Linked DNA regions of Arabidopsis thaliana. The main gene of each other region encodes a partner of the protein of the gene in region 2 in a complex. Each region holds a gene or a part of one and is shown on either strand. Other genes may lie near its edges. The genes, in order: AT5G65274, ARP2, ARPC3 and ARPC1A.

Region 1 (2,830 bases), on a different chromosome or scaffold from region 2:
GATACCGCCGGCCAAGAACGGTAATCTCCGACCTCTCCCGGAACTTTTAGCTACTTCAATTGCTTGAACTTAGATCTCGTAAGATTTTACTGTTTCTCTAGATCTGGAAGATGATAGGTCTGCTTAGGATTTCGAATTCTAGTAAAGCTTACTGATCTGTATACGAAATTGGGAGGATCTGAAGTAAAATGGTAGAATCATTGAGAATTTGGGATTGGGATTTCAAAATTATGTATAGACTAGAATTATGTATATTACTATTCCAATGTTATTAAGCTTCTATAATTTTATGATTGGTACAAATTTGGACACTTTTGTTATACATTTCCCAGTGATGCTTCATCAACTTTATACATTCACTGATCTTTAATGAGTAAGCTAACCACCACATTTCATGCTTATCATATGCTTACATTGTATATCTTTCTATATGTGTGGTATTGGTTGAAACAGATACAGAGCAGTAACAAGTGCATATTACCGAGGAGCGGTTGGGGCGATGTTGGTGTATGACATAACCAGACGCCAAACCTTTGACCATATCCCAAGATGGTTAGAAGAACTACGTGCTCATGCAGATAAGAACATTGTGATAATCCTTATTGGGAACAAGTCAGATCTTGTGGATCAACGAGCTATACCGACAGAAGATGCGAAAGAATTTGCGGAGAAAGAAGGTTTGTTCTTCTTGGAGACATCTGCATTTAACGCAACCAATGTTGAGAGCGCTTTCTCCACGGTTTTGACTGAGATCTTCAACATTGTGAACAAGAAAAGTCTGGCTGCGAGTGAAGATCAAGAGAATGGTAATCCCGGGTCGCTTGCTGGTAAGAAGATTGATATTGTTCCAGGTCCTGGTCAAGTGATACCAAACAAGAGTAACATGTGTTGTAACTCTTAGATAAACCAATTCAATTCTTGAATGTTACTTGATAACAACAATATATAGATGTTTTAAAGACTCTGATTGGGATATTTCTCCTATCTAGAGCTGTGTGATTCATTTGTTGCTTAATGAGCAGTTTTTGTGGGGTTTTGGGGTGTTGAATCCAAGTATAACAAACCGATCTTAATTTGATCTTAAAAATTGGATATTAATTTGATCAACATGTTTTTATTCTCTCTACATTTGTAAGATTATTGTTACATTTTTGTTAATTACAAATATATACCAGCAATAACAACTTTTCTATTTCTCTTGTTACGTCAATGTGAAAAAGTAAAAATTAAAAACTGAAGCATCCGATTTTAATAATTGGTATCACAGTTCTGATAAATTCTCACTCGGCCGTTTTACCACTCGATTGCTTTATTCTCTCTAATTTCAGGTAATCTTCGAATCCTGCTTGATTCTTCAATCTTGTATGATTTGATCAGAAAGTTCAGGATTACTGATCTGATATGATGTGAGAAATCTGCGTACCATCGGCAATGGATTGTTTTACGTGATTAGAATTGATTTTGTCGTGATTGTTACTTCTCTTTTTAGCTTTTTATGGGGATGACAAGTTTTGCATTGCCTCCTTTGGTTAGTAAACTCAAATCATATGTTTCTTATGCAGCAAGTTGTCGATTTGAATGAAGAAATGAAATTAATTGATTAGGTTTTAGATAATTTTGCTGGAGAGTGTAGAGAAAGAGAGAGATCCAATGGCTGGTGCAGCAGCATTTGTTGAAGCTGATAATGCAGAGGAAATAATGGCAAGGATCGAAACCAAATCGCAGAAGATTGAAAGCTTACTCAAACAGTAATAACCCTAAAGTTCCTTTTTTCTTCCAACTTTCTCAGATGACCTAGGCTATAATTGTTACTTCGTTTTATTCAGCTACAAACATGTCGAAGCTCTTAAAACGGCTCTTGATGGTTCGCCACCTAAAACTCTCGACGAACGTTGCAAGGTCCTACTGTTTCCTCTACCATGCACATAAGTAGTTTGTTCATGATCAAAAAGATTGTGTAATTTATGATAAATATCTGTGAAATTGCAGTCAGCTAATTGGATAGTTGTGCACAGAGCTATCATGGCGATAAAGGATATCGAAGGAATGTTAAATTCTCTTACTGCCGAGTATTACGACATTCTCATGAAGTAAGTCTCTTGCCTTTTGCTCTGCTAGCTTTTAATTAGCGTGATGTGGAAGCAGTGTTTTGTTTGCTTAAATGGTGTGGATCAGGTACTTGTACAGAGGTCTTTCGACTGGTGACGAACCCACATGCGAACAGTGTTTGATGATTCACGAGAAACTAACAGAGAGAGCTGGTCTCGGTTGCATTCTCCGTTGTCTGAGTGATACTACCAATACCGTTTAAACCATTAAGCTGATCTTTTCATGTTACTTTTATTCTTGTTTTCTATGAATGTTTCTCCCAAATCTCAAGTTACTTCAATAGATTATAGAAAGTGGAATAAACCGGAGAACCTAAGATCCTTTCACAAAGAGATAGTCATAAAAGAACCTACGGTTACCTGGTTTTAAATTATATCTCATAACCAGGAAACTTAGAATCTACCGGCGACACAAGATCGAACCAGAGGCATACTGGTCCAGCTAGTCCCCGGAATAGCGAATAATCATGTTCTGTTTCTTGGCTTGTCATATTCACGAGCTCTATCGCATCACGGCACAAGTAACTCGCAAACGCTTTTGCTCTCTCTTCATATACAACATCTCCGGTTAAGCGATAAAGGGATAAGAAAGCGTAGGCATTACCAGCAACTCCATCAGCTAAACCTACCTTCTTCACCAAGCCACTCTTCCACACTACTTCTCCTGCTTCAATGGCTGCTTCGCGGAAATCCCTTTCCTTGGGAAACACCTGAGATGCTTT
Region 2 (5,712 bases):
ACCTCTGCAAAAACACAAGGTGAGTTCAATTTGAGGATGATGATACAAGAGAGTGGAATCTTCAAACCTTTTTTTCCGAGTGTTTGTGACAATTTTTTGGCAGTTGTTGTTTGAACTTGCAGGTGGAGTTTGTTGAATACACACAGCCAGAGATTTTTTTGTTTGGAGTCTTTAAGTTGCAGAGAGGCTTGTTTTTACTTGTTCTGAGTTTTGTTGCTTTTGAATATCAAGAAACCGGCTTTTTTCAGATAGTACAACAATGGTAATGTATACTTGTCTTCCATCACATATTTGTAGAATGAAGATTTATAGCTCTCTTTTGCTCAGTATTCTTCTATTGCATCTCCAAAGATTGTTCTCTTTCGTTCGATCTCTCTGAATGAGTTAAAGACTTTCGTTTAGAGTCGAGTGTAAAACACTTCGCTGCATGTTCTGATTCAGTGGCTTTGAGCTGCAATGGATTTCACAATGATGGTAACGTTGTATTCTTTAACTCTTACTTACATTCATGTTATTGCCCTGAGTGTGCCGTTAACTGTGGGAAGGTTTTGAACTAGGTACAAACCCTTCGCAGTTGGGAACCAAATAAGCTGGTATTGCATTTACTCTTTGCCTTGCAAGCTTTTTCAAAGATAAGTATAAATTGTTCAACGAGTCAAAAAGTTTATATCATTTTACTCATTTTGACTTGAATTTGACGGAACTAAGGAAAGAGACTAAGAGAGAGAGAGAGAGAGAGGTTAACGAGTCAAAAAGTTGCTTGATCTCTATGATTTGTCCAACCAATCAAAACAAGTGAAGAAAATTCAAAAACATTCACAAAGCTCTCTCTTTCCCTTTTGAGCAATGATCTAACTCAACACTATGGTCCAAATACAACTCCAATAGATCCATTCCAAAGCCTCCCTCATGATGAGAGCGTGACTTAAGTTGCTTACTCTTTTAATTTCCATTCTCTTCGACACATTGGGCAAGGAGCTTGACTTGTCTACGAATTCTTCCATTTCAATATACAGAAGTGAAGATGAAACGCGTGGTTACTTTGAGGTCTAAGACATGCAGTTTTGTTCTTACCAGAACTAAATAAAGCAGCTTAGCAATGTTCCAGTAAGCATGAGAGACAGTGTGTGTCCTAATTAACCTATATAAAAGTGAAAACATGAAAGCTGATTTTACATCGAACAAGTCATTGGACTTGTGTGTGTGAAACTGTAAAAGTCTTATCTTATTTTTACTATATTGGTGACTGATACATAACATGTTGTGACAGGAACTTAATTTACAACATGTTATGTAGAATAAATTTTAGTATTGAGACAACATAGAGACAACAAAAAAACCTAGAAGAAGATTGATATCCCAACTTCGTACCAAAACCCTAGTAACATCTTTCTCGTAACATAACCCTAATAGTGATTGAAATCTCTGATCAAGGGATTGCATGATGATCATTTACTAATTCTTAGTTTAGATCATCTAGAAGATTGTTATACAAGTAAACAGAATTATCTGTTTGACCTAATATGGGCCTGAGATAGCCCATCAATACCCACAACCAAGTTAACTCCATCTCAATAATTCGAGAAAAGGGGTAACGTATTTAATAATTTTTTCTATGTATTGACCGTTTGCACTACGTGACGTTTTCACGTAGAGTAAACGACGCGCATTCTTATAAAGAAACGAGGAAACAGCTGCTTTTTGTTTGTCGAAGAGCAAATATGTTTTCTCGATCGCGACCAAACAAGTAGAGAAGAGTGATTCTTCGCTTCGATTCAAAGACAGGTTTTTTCTTTTGTTCCCTGAGAGATCGAATCGAAGAAATCGAAATTTTTGTACTTCGATAAAAATCTGTAGTCTCTATAGAAATCGGAGAAGATGGACAACAAAAACGTCGTCGTTTGCGACAACGGCACCGGTGTAAGCTTCTTCTCTCTGATATCTCTTGTTTCAGACTCCGAACTTTAGTTGAATCTGATCAATCATTCCATTCCTATCTGGGTTTCGTTAAAAATCTCACTTTTGAGTTTGTTTAGGATCTAGTTGTCTTAAAGTTGCAAAATTTGAAAACTTTCATGTCTTAGCATAGTGTAAGATCGTGTTTCTATTGAAATCAAAACTAATACATGAGAAATCTCATAATGGGTTGCTTAAGTTTTGAGTTTCTTGTGATGGGAACAAATTGTGAGCCTCTTATTAAATTTTTCAGTATGTAAAATGTGGATTTGCTGGAGAGAATTTCCCAACGTCTGTTTTCCCCTGTGTCGTGGGAAGGCCATTGCTTCGGTATGAAGAATCACTCATGGAGCAACAAGTCAAGGTTTGTAGATATGTGACTTTAAATAAGCAAAACCAGATCATTGTTAGCCTTTTGAGTTTTGACTGAGCTGATATGCGTAATTCGGATTCATATACGTTTTGGTTTTGTTTCATTTTAGGATATAGTTGTTGGGGAGACTTGCTCTGAGCTCCGGCATCAATTGGATATAAATTATCCTGTCCACAATGGTATTGTGCAGAATTGGGATGATATGGAACATGTTTGGGATCATGCTTTCTATAACGAATTGAAAGTAAGTTTCTTCTCCTGCTTCTTCTTGCCATTTTTGTCTCGGTTCCATGTGTCTTGACTTACTCTTAAACCCTTTTTGTTATTAACAGATCAATCCATCTGACTGTAAGATATTGCTCACGGATCCACCTCTTAATCCGTCCAAGAATCGTGAAAAAATGGTAAGATATTATCAAGTCTTTGGTTAAGAGTTGCTTTGATGGTTGTTGGAGCAGTGATTTATTTTATGTTATAAAACAGATTGAGACAATGTTTGAGAAATACAATTTCGCTGGCGTTTTCATTCAAATCCAAGCCGTTTTGACTCTCTATGCTCAAGGTGCTTATGGAGACTATTGAAGGTTTAGATTTTCTTTCGTGTGTTTAGATAGTCACCTGTAAATAGCATTTATGTGTGCTTCCCTGATATTTTTCTTCATGTGTTGAACTCTTGGTTTCAGGTTTGCTAACTGGTTTGGTTATTGATTCTGGTGATGGTGTTACTCATGTGGTAAGCTATAAACCTCTGTAATTTTTTAGATCATATATTGCTTATAATAGAGAAGTTAACCGTCTTCGCCTCACATCTTAGGTTCCGGTGGTTGACGGCTACTCGTTCCCTCATCTTACTAAAAGAATGAATGTTGCTGGCAGACACATAACAGCATATCTCGTTGATCTACTATCTCGACGAGGGTGAGAAACTGATTCATAGACTCACATTCATTTTAATGATGTTGAGATGTTTTAAATTAGCTAAACTAAAAGACTGTTTGTTCAACAGATATGCGATGAACAAAACAGCTGACTTTGAGACGGTTAGGGAAATTAAAGAGAAGCTCTGCTATATAAGGCATGCAAAGACCTCTTCTCAGCTTTCCTCTAATATCTGTGTAGTAATGCATTACTAGAATAGGAAATAAACACAATTTGTTTTGTCTTTTTTTGCAGTTATGATTACAAGAGAGAATCTCAGCTTGGCCTTGAGACAACTATCCTTGTTAAGAATTATACTGTAAGTCTCTCTCCTGGTATGAACCTGTCAGGTGTGTGAATTTTCAAGGTTTCGATGGCAAATAGAGGCAAGAAACAGAAACTAGTGTACGTTAAGCTAATAGGAATCCAAACTCATGATCAGAACTAAATAGATAGCAGATTCTTGGCGAACTTGAGCCTGTAGAGAACTTTAAAGATTCGTGCCATCATTCCTTTGTTCTTTTTGGTAATGAAAGAATGATATTATCATCTTTTCTTTTCATGACATCGTTTCTCTGTTCTTGGGCGCTGTGTTTGGGATTTTTCATCCGATAGTCGATAAAGTTTCATACTTGTGCCAGTTGCAGCCTCTAAAGCTGATATTATCACCAAATTATTTTTTTTCCAGAGTACTAACCCGTTGTGTTTTTGAACTGTGATCAGCTTCCAGATGGGAGGGTTATCAAAGTAGGCACTGAAAGATTCCAAGCACCTGAAGCGCTTTTTACTCCGGTAAACCTTCATCGCGTCCTCTGCTAATTTCTCTTTTGGAATAGTTTCAACCCTCCAAGAATCTCGAGGCTGATCACAACCAAATATTTTTTCAGGAACTCATTGATGTTGAAGGTGATGGAATGGCAGACATGGTTTTCCGATGTATTCAAGAAATGGATATTGATAACCGCATGATGGTTCGTGTGACTCTTACGCTTGCTTGGTATTTCAAAAGAAAGATCCAACAAAACTAATCATTTATCTGTCTTAAACCCTTTGCTCTTTTTTCACAGCTCTACCAACACATAGTTTTAAGCGGAGGTAGCACCATGTACCCAGGATTACCTAGCCGGTTCGTATATTTTTTCTTCATCATAACCCAGCAAGAAGTTCCATTGTTTTATGTTTCATTGTCTTTTATTCTCTGTTTGTTTCAGTCTTGAGAAAGAAATACAGGATCGGTATCTCGACACAGTTCTAAAAGGAAACAAAGATGGCTTGAAGGTAAAAAAGATGATTCTGATAATGCCATGATCACTGTCAGTCATTAGCTCAGTTTTTAACATTTATCTTCGTTTTTCTTATCAATCAGAAACTCAGATTGCGGATCGAAGATCCACCGAGAAGGAAACACATGGTATACCTCGGAGGTGCTGTTCTTGCAGGAATCATGAAGGTAAGAGAAAAGTTCAATGCTATTCTCTCTTTTAACACGAAAGCATGAAATTTTAGTCTGTGTTATGATGTTAAGAGAATTTGGATTCGATGTTGCAGGACGCACCAGAGTTCTGGATCAATAGAGAGGACTATATGGAAGAAGGAATTAATTGTTTGAATAAAATGAGCCAAGCTTAATAACTTTCAAACGCAGAACTCATACTTGTACTTGTACCCCTTTTTTTTACTACCGTCAGGATGATTTAATTCCGTTTGTGAATTCAGTATTTTAGGTTTCAAAGTTTGAGTACAATTGGTTGCAGTTAGGGATCCAAAATTCGACATGTGATTGGTGGGATATACAGAAAAACGTGTATTAACTAATAATGTTGAGACTAATATATTGTGTAATAACCAAAGCCAAAAGGTCGAGAAGAGACGAAATGCATATATCTTAATTCTTGAGTAAGCAAACAGAGTCAAAACAGTGAAAGATTATTTGTAATTTTGAAAAGGAACCCTATTTCTTGCCACACAAGGTAGATCCCTATTGTTTTCTGTTAAAACCCAAAAGATTGCCACAACTCTGAATTGATGGAACCAGCTTCCTTCTACTGCATGTTCTGCAGCTAGTCTAAGTACAGCAGCTTCAAGCTAGATCAAAGACAAAATGATTACCTAACCTGCCATGAGTAAAAAAGGATTTGAAAACTTTTAAATTAACTAGAAACAAAAAAAACTGATTTACAATCCCAAAATAAAAAACTGTAAAAACTTTTTGAGGTCTTAATATGGGCTTTGGCCCAATAACGGCAACACCGTGTCAGAAACGTTGGTGTTGGTGACTGTTAAACTACCTCAACGACATATAAAACATTATGAGCGTTGGCCCAATAAAGAGATATAGGCCCATAAAGTTATAGAGAAATCACCCGGTGGTTCATCCAAATCTAACCACGACGAAGATTATTTCCAAACTGCTCAAACTTCTCCGGCGAGTTTTGGAGACATTATCGGAAAACGGCGCCATTTTA
Region 3 (3,750 bases), on a different chromosome or scaffold from region 2:
ACAAAATGCAAGAGGTGACTTCTTAGTTAAGTCTATTAATGTAAGTTTCCTCCTTGCCTGAGTAACAACTAATATTTCTTAATTTCAGTTTTGATGAGCTGCTAGAGTTAAGCCACCATGGAAATAACAGAGTAATTGACATGCTTGTGGGGGATATCTACGGTGGAACAGATTATTCAAAGGTAATTGATTGATCCTGGTTTTGCTTAAACATGTCTGAAGACTTTTAGATTAGATTCATATGTTAATATAACCTTTTGTTCATTCTTTTTTGATAGATTGGTCTCTCCTCAACAGCTATCGCTTCCAGCTTTGGGAAAGCGATTTCTGATGGTAAAGAACTTGAAGATTACCAGCCAGAAGATGTGGCAAGGTCCCTTCTAAGAATGATATCAAATAACATCGGTCAGGTCAGTTCCTCTGAACATTTTAATGCCATTTTAAAACATAATTTGAAGCTGATGATATTCTGATCGAATTGTAACGTTTTCTACTCTCCCTCCAGATTGCTTATTTGAATGCTCTCAGATTCGGTCTTAAGCGTATTTTCTTTGGTGGATTTTTCATCCGTGGGCTTGAGTACACCATGGACACAATCTCCGTTGCTGTTCACTTTTGGTAAATCCAAAACCGAAACTACTTAATCAAATCCCTCCATATCTTAAACTCATGTATGTCCACAAAATCTTTATCGAACTTTCTCATTTTTCCTTCTCATTTCAGGTCGAGAGGTGAGGCAAAGGCAATGTTTTTACGACATGAAGGGTTTCTTGGAGCATTAGGCGCTTTCACGAGCTACAATGACCAGAGCCATAACGATTTAAAACCGCATCATCACACTGTGCAAAGAGCAATTCTCAACTGTTCAGGTCATAACTTTCGGCACATCCCAGTAACTTCAAATTTAAACGAAAGCGAGACCATAGAATGTAGCATCAATTTAGTTTAGTTATCACCAGTTGTATTATTATCAATTCAGTGTAGAAATATGTTTAATCAACTGTTTGAGTCAAGAGCTGCTCATTACTAGTTTGTTGAATGTTAGACACATTTATGTAAGATGATTCACGTATTAATATTCATGTATGACCAATGTAACTTGTACTATATATCACACAAAGAATCAAACACACTTATTAAATCTCACTAGAGCTTCTTTAAATCTCGGTTTAGTCCGGTGCATTGCAAGTATTTGTGCATTTCTGTTTAGCCTTTGTTTACTAAGTTTTGTATATTGCTTATGTAACAAGTTTTTATCCATTCAGCAGAAATAACAGAAACTTGACACTTATATGGACATTTTGTTGTTGTTGTTGATTGAAGATCAATGTTTAATCCGGTCAAACCACTTTGATGTAACCCGAAACTGAACCGAAGAATGAACCACATCATTATTTGGTTTTTGATGTACCTAATTCCAGTGGTCGATAAGAAACCAAATTTCAAATAAAAAAACCGAGAAACTCAAAAATCAAAGCTAAGCCGGATTTAACATTGGTTACTCCCGGTACGAAGCAATGTACCACATTCATGGAGTCTTACACGTGTCATCCATACCTCTCTGTCTTCTTCTTCTTCTGTTCTTCATTCCTTTTTCCTACTTCGTCGATTTTCCATTTCAATTTCTTCTTCAGCCGGCGATTAAGCTTCCCAATAAGACAATCTCCGACCGCCGCAACATCACGAAGGATTCTTCACCGTGTGAACTTTACGCAGTCTTTCCTCTTTCGTAGACGCTAAAGAAGTTGAAATTGATCTGATCTCGTTTAGGTAAAAACTTTTTCTTTCTTCATCTATAGAATCAATCGTTCACCTAAATTCTGATTCTTATATATCCAAGATCTTAATTGCAGCAGATCTACCTTCGATTCGATTCTTCTCCTTCCTGATATCGCTTCATTGTTCAAATTCGGCACAAAATGGTACGGATCACCATTTTCTTATCTTTCAATTAGCATTAATCGCATTTCATTTTGTAACTAATGAAATTAGATTAGATCTTCGATGAGATTTTTTTTATTTATTGAGCTTGTTTCACTTTGATTTGGTTCCATGGAGTATTTAACTCTGCGATGCTCATTTTGTTTCCTTAATCCTTGTGATTAAATGCTCTGATCAGGTTTATCACTCGAGTTTTGTGGATGAAGAAGGAGTAACAAAGGCATGTGGTTGTCCATTGCTTCCTCTCAAGAGTCATATAAAAGGTCCTGCACCTGTTTCAGAACAAGGTAATTAATCAAAACATGTGATTTTTTTCAATTGTGCGATCGAAAGCTTTTGTAAATTGTTGGTTTTATATGCAGATAAAACTGATATAGTAGACGAGGCAATCACCTTCTTTCGTGCTAATGTCTTCTTCACAAACTTTGATATCAAAAGTCCTGCTGATAAGCTCCTTATTTACTTGACGTTTTATATAAATGTGGCGTTAAAGAGGCTTGAAGGCTGTAGAACATTGGCTGTTGGAACTAAAGCGATTATCAACTTGGGTTTAGAAGATATTCCTGTTCCTGGAGAAACTGGCTTTCCTTTCCCAGGTCTCTTTTCGCTTCCGCAGTCCCAGGACGAAGCAGGTATATATACATGTCTAAACAACTCTTATTGATTTTTCTTTCAGTTACTTGGTCCTTAGCCTTGTGTTCTGTTTGGCTTCAAATGTCAGAGCTTTTCAGGAACTATCTTAAGCAGGTTCGAGAGGAGACAAGTGGGAGGTTACTGAGTGTAGCATATAGAGCCAACGGGACACCAAATAAATGGTGGCTTGCATTCGCCAAGAGGAAATTCATGAACGTGGTCGTCCTATGATAAAACAGAGAATCACTGGTAAGTATCACTTTAGTTTACTGGATCCAAAATCCCACGTGATCTTAGATCCATCTCAAACAGTTCTACATTTCAAGCTTAAAATGTTTTTCTTTTGATCTGATTTTTTCATAATTTAGCAGCTGGTTATTCTTCCTTGCTTGCTGCCCATTACGAATGAGGGAATCCAAAGCCACTGGAGATCATGAGAATCGCCACCTTTAGCTTCCTCTGCATAGGTGTTAGCCACTGGAACCAGGAAGACGAAAATTTCATCTGAGAGCAGAATGCTCTCTCTCTGTATCTCTTGATATATACATAGAGTGTGCCAATGTATTGTTTCATACAACTCCTGTTGGAATATAAAATTTGTTGATACAAGATCAAAGTTAAATAAGAAGATTCTTTTATTATTACTTTAGATTAACAGAGTTTATCTCCAAGGTCTTAATCAGATATCAGATTGTAACCACACATTCTCACTCTTAGCAATTATACAAAGAAAGGAAATAGCTTTGCATACACATAGTGACATAACTGTGCCTGAAGCTACCTATCAGGCCTTGGTGCATACGTTTCCTTCACAAACCCAACCATCTTTGGACTCGTCGCCACCAACTTTCACAGCCTCATCGCCGTTTTCTTTTGTGTCCTCGTTTAAAGCACACTTGGCGTGAAGATCAAAGTCGCATTCGTCGCAATGGTAAGACCATATTGTCCCTTCTTCCTCACACTTATCGCATGTGTAAACCTGAACACGAGTTAGTTCTAGCTCATGTTCTTCATGGAGAACATGTTTCACCTTCTTAGGCCAATCTTTTGCTATCTCATCGTACTTAGCTTCAATCTCCTTCAAACGTTCCTCAGTAAAAGGGTAAGCATCGGCTCCATGGGCTACGACAAGGTCCCTTGCTTCTTTTGTTACGGTTTGCCCAGTTGGTCCCAGAG
Region 4 (6,701 bases), on a different chromosome or scaffold from region 2:
TTAACTTTTAAGGCATGTAACTAGTCATAGGTGAATTGCTATGAGTACCACTATACTTCAGGACGACTTGGGCATCAACTAGCATTGTATCGGAAAATTTCATTTTCAAAAACGTCTTTAGTATTTCTTGAGGGGGATTAATAGGTTTTTAATTAGGATTTATTATTGGATTCAAATCCCCTTTTATGTCGCATATAAGTTCATATGTAACTATGTAAGAATGTTATAGAATTTAGTAACCGAAGCAGCTGGTACATAAATCCATAACTATCATTTATTGGAATAAAACTGTTACAAAGACAATAAGTCACAAAATGTTACAAATTAACGGAAGTACCCAACCATTTTGTGGTAAATTATTAAACGTGAATATTTTCTCCTATGAATGATATAGAAGTGTTAAATTGATTAATGATGAATGGTGCAGATTCAACGGCTTAGATTTTCTGGGAAGGATAATGAAAGGGAAGAAACTGATGTTCGTAGGAGATTCACTGAGTCTAAACCAATGGCAATCTCTCACGTGTTTGCTCCACAACGCCGCACCAAAAGCCAATTCCACATCCACACGTTCCCCTTCTGGCCTCTCCGTCTTCTCATTCCCCGTAACGTTTTCTAACTTTATCAAACTCGTTCCGGTATTGATCCGGTTTAATAATTCTGGTTCGGTTCGTATTTAAATGCATGCAATGCAGGCTTACAATTCTTCGATTATGTTTTCAAGAAACGCGTTTCTTGTGGATATAGTCGGAGCCCCACCGAAGCGAGTGATGAAGCTTGACTCAATCTCGAGTGGTTCGTTGTGGAAAACCGCAGACGTTTTGGTCTTCAACTCTTGGCATTGGTGGCTTCACACAGACCGAAAACAACCGTAAAATCATCTTTATGTCGTCAAACATATTTTGCTATGGACTATGGACTTATTAGTATCTAACTAATGTAATCATTTGGGGTTGCAGATGGGACGCAATTATGTCCGGGAATGTAACGGTTAAAGACATGGACCGGTTAGTGGCATATGAGAAAGCAATGATGACTTGGGCTAAGTGGATTGATCAAAATATTGATCCTTCCAAAACCAAAGTCTTCTTCCAAGGTATTTCTCCGGACCATGGCCGGTAAGTTCTACCTCTATATAACTTCTTTTTTATTCGATACATACATTAAATCAACGATAAAAACTTAACACGATTGATATATGTTGGATTAGTCTATAAGTTTTCGTTAGAACCAAATAATTTCATGTTGATATTGTTAACAATAATGGTACATAATGTTACAGGGCAAGGGAATGGTCGAAACAAGGTGGCAAAGGCAGTTGCATAGGAGAAACAAAGCCGATTATGGGATCGAGTTACCTGGCTGGGCCGCACGCAGCCGAGATGGTGGTGGCGAAAGTGATAAAGACGATGAAGAATCAGGCGCGGTTAATGGATGTGACATTGATGTCTCAGCTAAGGAAAGATGGACATCCTTCAGTATACGGTTTTGGCGGTCACAGAATGGCGGATTGTAGCCATTGGTGTCTCTCTGGAGTCCCGGATAGCTGGAACCAGCTCTTGTATTCTGAGCTGTTTCATTCTTAAAATTTTGATGGTTTTGACACAAAACTAAATTCATTATATGATTTATACATTTATTTATGACCTAACCATGTTTGTGTTGTTTTACACATTTATTTTATGTCATAAACATGTTTATTTAGAATTTCAAATTCATTTGTCAACCAAAATGTTTAAATGAGAACAAGATTCTTTGACTGGTCGAACAATTTATAAGAGAAGAATTTGCAAGAATATAACCTTATGATCTCGTTATAATTGAATGGACTAAATATGTGTCCTGAATCTCTAAGTGAGAGATTAGAGGAAGACCAAAACTAGAAGTAAACCTTATTCCACGAGAGGGGATAACTAGCGTAGCTTATATAATAACTTTGTACAATGATTTGGGGTTAAGTTATTTTTGGATTATGCTAAATCAAAATCTAATATAGTGGTGCAAGCCCCTTGACTTGGGTCAATGATTCAAAAGCTTATACAAAAAAAAAAACGAAAAAACTAATAGTAAAACATTACTTTAGAAAAAAGTTACTAATCAATATTTTTTTAAAAATTTCAGATTACTTTATAAGTTACTCTATACTCATAGACTCATAGTGAGATATAGTTCTATTTTTACATGGATGAATTGGATCGAATCCATTTATCTACATTAATGTATTTAACTAATGCAGAACTTAAGCCTTTTATCGGAAAAAACAAAAACAAAACTAATGCAGATTACAGAACTATAGATTTAAAAATAAAAATAATTCGATTTTTTCCTTATTATTATGCTGGTTTGCCCAAAAATAAAGGTCCAAGTAAAACTGAAATTGATCTGGTCATAAAAATTGGGGCTTTAGTAAAAAAAAAAAAAAAAAAAAAAACATCTGTCTCTTTCACTTCACGTTTGCGACTGTGTCGTCGTCCACCTCCGGATCTCATCGGCGTTTCATCATAATTATCTGTCCATCTATTCACCGTACGACTCCGTTTTAGGAATCTGTGGATGTCAATTTGAGAGAAAAGACTGTCTTCATTACAACACATTTGGGACAACAAGGATCACTCATGGCAGTGGTGGATGTTCATCGTTTCGCTGAGTCAATCACTTGCCATGCTTGGAGTCCTGATCTCTCCAGTATGTTTCTAACACCTCTCTGATTTTGTGATTCTCTTCTTTCTCTCTTCCGTCGTTTTTTCCGTTTTAGAATTATAAATGAGGAGGATCTATCTATAGTTAGTTTGGCTGGGAAGATAGATAGATGATACAACTAAATTGACTTGTGTTATTCTTATACATCTTGGTAATCAAATTTCTTCGAGTCAATGTTTTATATGTCTGTTTGTCGGTGTCTCTTGTTAGGAACACTTGGTATCTAGTATTGTACATTAGTAGATGCGCTTTTCTAAACAGATGAACCAAATCTATTGTTACAAATGATTTAACGTCTGTACTAAAGCCTGTAACCATTTATGTGCTTTGACATTTGTTTCGTTTTTCTTGGTAGTGGTTGCTCTCTGTCCTAACAACACTGAAGTTCATATCTATAAATCATTGTCTCAAGACCACTGGGAGAGGTTACATGTCCTCCAAAAGGTGAAACCTTTCTCTCTCCCTCTCTTTCTGTAACTTTTGAACTTGCATTCCTTTTGCTTTCTCTTCTTGGGAATTCCTTACTTTCGTATATTTATGTATTCTCATTTCACTGATCACTTGTCGCTGATAAGTGTTGTATAGACAGCTTGAATCTCCCTTACAACAACTTCATGATTATTGTTCGTCTTGTTGCAGCATGACCAAATTGTTTCTGGAATAGATTGGAGCTCAAAGTCCAACAAAATCGTCACTGTTTCTCATGACAGGAACTCGTAAGTTGCTACCTTTGATATACTTTGAGAAACTCCAAACCTGTTAATCTTAGTCCTTCACTTTTTTTCGTTCGTTGAACTGAGTTTAGAATGCTTCTTGAAGGTACGTCTGGAGCCTGGAAGGAGCTGAATGGGTACCAACTCTCGTTATTCTTAGACTAAATCGTGCTGCACTTTGTGTCCAATGGAGCCCCAAAGGTAAATGTTTAATTTTTCTGGTTCTTAAGCTTAATTTCCGTAATATGTAGTGTAATTTTCCTATAATTTCTACAGCTTCTAATCTATGTTCTCATCTTTTTGCTCAATACCCATAGAGAACAAGTTTGCTGTTGGAAGTGGTGCTAAAACTGTTTGTATTTGCTATTATGAGCAAGAGAATAACTGGTATTTTCTTCTTCTGCTCCTAATTCTCATTATTAGTCCTTGATTTTTTCTTTGGCAAGTTTCCTGACTTCTTTGCTACGAATGGTGTTGTTGGTCTATGTAATGATATTATTTTGTCTTATGTACTGGCATGATATTAGCACCAATCATATTTTTTATTATCTTGGCATGCATAACTGTGTATTGTTTAGAGATTTTAGAAAGATACTTTCATGTAAACTTTTAGTATCTGACATTGCTTGGCTTTACTGTTTTCAGGTGGGTCAGTAAGCTAATCCGGAAAAGGCACGAATCTTCAGTCACATCTGTTGCTTGGCATCCTAATAATGTACGTGCAATCAACAGAACCTCTTGTAGTTCATGTAGTTAAAATAATAAGCAGGCTCTCTGTAAAAGCATTCTCTACCAAAAATATTCTATAAGTTGGCCACCAGATTGAGTATAGAGTACATGATCCCTAAAAATAGAATATCAATCTCCACAAACTAGTTAATCTTCTAAATCATTTTTTCTCGTATGCTTTTTTATGTTGCTGTGCTCTCTGATTGTCTGTTATGCATTAGGTTCTTCTGGCAACGACATCAACAGATGGAAAATGTCGGGTATTTTCAACATTTATCAAAGGAGTTGACACAAAGTATGCTCATTACTTGAACGTCTACTTTTAAAACATTTTTTCAAACATGAGGCCGTTTCTTATTTGTCTTTCAATGGGCTGATACAGGGATTCAAAAGCAGGCTCACCAGCGGAAACGAAATTTGGGGAGGTTTGACTCGTTTGGCTGGCTTTCCTTCTTTTAGTAAATAGTATACCACTTCTGCCATATATATGTTCCCTCTACTCACTCTCTTATCTAATGTTAGGGAGCTTTTTTTCTGTTGAAACAGCAAATTCTTCAGCTTGATCTCTCATATTCTTGGGCATTTGGTGTTAAATGGTCTCCAAGTGGAAACACCTTAGCTTATGTAGGTCAGAATATCCTTAAAACTTAAGATGTTTGTCCATTGAGCTCTACTGGAATTATAAAAATGGAACTTCACCTTGGTTGCATAATTTTTACTACACTCCGTCTCACTTCCCTTGTTCATGCAATCTTGTTTATAGGTCATAGCTCCATGATTTACTTTGTTGATGATGTTGGTCCTTCTCCTTTAGCCCAAAGCGTTGCATTTCGAGATTTGCCTCTTCGTGATGTGGGTCAGCATCCACTCTTTTTTTTCTTTTGAGAAAGTGTTCTCATGTGTTATATCCTGAATTGATATATTATCGGGAACTTGCTATCTTCAGGTCCTGTTTATTTCTGAGAAAATGGTGATAGGCGTGGGATATGACAGCAACCCGATGGTATTTGCCTCAGATGATACTGGAATATGGTGTGTAACTCTTAGTTTTCTCTTTCTTAGCTATTTCCAGACAATCAAATACTTCAATTCATTAATTCTCCTTAGCTCTCAGGCCGGATAGTTATTTCTGAAATCATCCACACACCGATGATTGCCTTGTTTACAAGTTTTTGTTTATGGTCTGCAGGAGCTTTATCAGATACATCGGAGAGAAGAAAGCAGCATCTTCAAATTCCAGTTACAGTTCGCAGGTACATACCATGTTTTCTTTCTTGAATAAAATATGAGTGAACTTAGCTTATTCCTGAAGTGTTCCTCTAAGATAGTAGTAATCTTTCGGGTTAGTGTAGTTGCTCCTTTTTTCTCCTTGGGTTTACTACTTTGAACTTTCCACTTGCATTATTTGTACTGTTTTGTCTAATCCTTTTTTTCATTATGTTATCTTTTCAGTTTTCTGAAGCATTTGGAAAATTCTACGGCAGTCAATCAAAGTCCACAACAGCCAACGATGCTTCTGAATCACGTGGAGGTGTTCATGATAACTGCATAAAGTAATTATTTCTTAAGCTAACTTTTCTTTTACCAAATCATTTGCCAGAAACCTGCCTCATTAACTCTTTTACTTCGATTGTCTATTAAGAACCTGACATGGAAGGTTACCTGAAAATTGCAGTTCCATTGTGTCTCTGAGCAAAGCAGGGAGTCCTAAAGTAATGCGATTCAGCACTTCAGGTCAGTCACTAATACAAAATGGAATTAGCCGATTCAGTTCTCAAAAAACAAACCAGCAGTTTCATTTACTCGCATAACGGTTTGTTATTTATAGGATTGGATGGCAAAGTTGCCATATGGGATCTGGAGAACATGGAACAAGAACTTGGCAATCAGTTTTAATAAACACACAAATAAAACAATTCTGGCTCACAAGCAAGGTTTTACTTAAGTTTAAACTACTTTTTCAATTTCGTAATTGTTTCACTTTGTAAACTGCCACAATAAAAGGCCTTATTTTCTTGGTTTGTGTAAGGGCAGGTATTAATAAGTTTCTTGGCTTCATGATTTGATTCATTTAGTTAGCATCTTGTAATACCTTTTATATATAGTAATATCAGCTTTGTGTCGAAAGGAGTCCATATTGAACCAAACACAACAATTTCGCAAAATTTTCAAGTTCTTGAGAAGAAGCAAAAAGCTTTGGTCCTCCGAACTATGCCATATTTACCACAAAACGAGATATCGACAAACATTAATCTTCTATCAGATGACAGAAGTGTGATTCAGAAGACCAAATATTCTTTGAATGTTTCTCACTTATTGCAAAACAACTACTGTCCTCGTCCTAAGCAACTTCCAGAGTACCTAGTTTTTAAAGCATGAACTAGAGTTGTAACTCAGAAGCAGATATGCAGAGAAACACGACTTGGAACGATTGATTATATGTCTCCAAGATCCTTCCTTTTCGTCCCATAAGCAATATAGTTGACACTAATATCATCTGACAATAACCATCTTCCTGTTATTGGGTTGTACACAAATCCAGCTATCTCTTTCACCTGC

What was found.
Region 1: ARP2 (region 2) and AT5G65274 share a complex: the UniProt entries of both Arabidopsis thaliana proteins name them as parts of the arp2/3 complex.
Region 3: ARP2 (region 2) and ARPC3 share a complex: the UniProt entries of both Arabidopsis thaliana proteins name them as parts of the arp2/3 complex.
Region 4: ARP2 (region 2) and ARPC1A share a complex: the UniProt entries of both Arabidopsis thaliana proteins name them as parts of the arp2/3 complex.

The regions. Positions count from the first base shown.
Region 1 is NC_003076.8:26,083,650-26,086,479, forward strand, and holds AT5G65274 (ARP2/3 complex 16 kDa subunit (p16-Arc)), read left to right. Parts: upstream 1-1,650; coding exon 1,651-1,748; intron 1,749-1,826; coding exon 1,827-1,899; intron 1,900-1,943; exon of another isoform or gene 1,944-1,989; coding exon 1,990-2,090; exon of another isoform or gene 2,091-2,175; coding exon 2,176-2,311; downstream 2,312-2,830. Other genes in the region: RABA4a (RAB GTPase homolog A4A), read left to right, coding at 1-20, 454-901; GCL1 (GCR2-like 1), read right to left, coding at 2,480-2,830. UniProt on the Arabidopsis thaliana protein: Functions as a component of the Arp2/3 complex which is involved in regulation of actin polymerization and together with an activating nucleation-promoting factor (NPF) mediates the formation of branched actin networks.
Region 2 is NC_003074.8:9,951,951-9,957,662, reverse strand, and holds ARP2 (actin related protein 2), read left to right. Parts: upstream 1-1,680; 5' UTR 1,681-1,878; coding exon 1,879-1,920; intron 1,921-2,209; coding exon 2,210-2,320; intron 2,321-2,438; coding exon 2,439-2,573; intron 2,574-2,661; coding exon 2,662-2,733; intron 2,734-2,812; coding exon 2,813-2,891; intron 2,892-3,012; coding exon 3,013-3,062; intron 3,063-3,143; coding exon 3,144-3,247; intron 3,248-3,335; coding exon 3,336-3,404; intron 3,405-3,502; coding exon 3,503-3,566; intron 3,567-3,970; coding exon 3,971-4,039; intron 4,040-4,134; coding exon 4,135-4,218; intron 4,219-4,314; coding exon 4,315-4,373; intron 4,374-4,458; coding exon 4,459-4,525; intron 4,526-4,613; coding exon 4,614-4,697; intron 4,698-4,795; coding exon 4,796-4,876; 3' UTR 4,877-5,184; downstream 5,185-5,712. UniProt on the Arabidopsis thaliana protein: Functions as ATP-binding component of the Arp2/3 complex which is involved in regulation of actin polymerization and together with an activating nucleation-promoting factor (NPF) mediates the formation of branched actin networks.
Region 3 is NC_003070.9:22,263,852-22,267,601, reverse strand, and holds ARPC3 (actin-related protein C3), read left to right. Parts: upstream 1-1,525; 5' UTR 1,526-1,770; intron 1,771-1,840; exon of another isoform or gene 1,841-1,853; 5' UTR 1,854-1,919; coding exon 1,920-1,922; intron 1,923-2,119; coding exon 2,120-2,228; intron 2,229-2,303; coding exon 2,304-2,573; coding exon of another isoform or gene 2,574-2,605; intron 2,606-2,662; coding exon 2,663-2,805; 3' UTR 2,806-2,823; intron 2,824-2,945; 3' UTR 2,946-3,217; downstream 3,218-3,750. Other genes in the region: PANK1 (pantothenate kinase 1), read left to right, coding at 1-14, 89-182, 279-410, 506-618, 724-949; AT1G60420 (DC1 domain-containing protein), read right to left, coding at 3,359-3,750. UniProt on the Arabidopsis thaliana protein: Functions as a component of the Arp2/3 complex which is involved in regulation of actin polymerization and together with an activating nucleation-promoting factor (NPF) mediates the formation of branched actin networks.
Region 4 is NC_003071.7:13,150,832-13,157,532, forward strand, and holds ARPC1A (actin-related protein C1A), read left to right. Parts: upstream 1-1,957; 5' UTR 1,958-2,066; intron 2,067-2,341; exon of another isoform or gene 2,342-2,407; 5' UTR 2,408-2,615; coding exon 2,616-2,685; intron 2,686-3,055; coding exon 3,056-3,144; intron 3,145-3,339; coding exon 3,340-3,416; intron 3,417-3,519; coding exon 3,520-3,614; intron 3,615-3,730; coding exon 3,731-3,800; intron 3,801-4,058; coding exon 4,059-4,128; intron 4,129-4,363; coding exon 4,364-4,437; coding exon of another isoform or gene 4,438-4,456; intron 4,457-4,524; coding exon 4,525-4,567; intron 4,568-4,664; coding exon of another isoform or gene 4,665-4,688; coding exon 4,689-4,770; intron 4,771-4,905; coding exon 4,906-4,994; intron 4,995-5,088; coding exon 5,089-5,174; intron 5,175-5,331; coding exon 5,332-5,395; intron 5,396-5,594; coding exon 5,595-5,695; intron 5,696-5,817; coding exon 5,818-5,876; intron 5,877-5,970; coding exon 5,971-6,038; 3' UTR 6,039-6,201; downstream 6,202-6,701. Other genes in the region: TBL43 (TRICHOME BIREFRINGENCE-LIKE 43), read left to right, coding at 428-605, 696-871, 960-1,118, 1,283-1,586; COQ3 (coenzyme Q 3), read right to left, coding at 6,578-6,697. UniProt on the Arabidopsis thaliana protein: Functions as a component of the Arp2/3 complex which is involved in regulation of actin polymerization and together with an activating nucleation-promoting factor (NPF) mediates the formation of branched actin networks.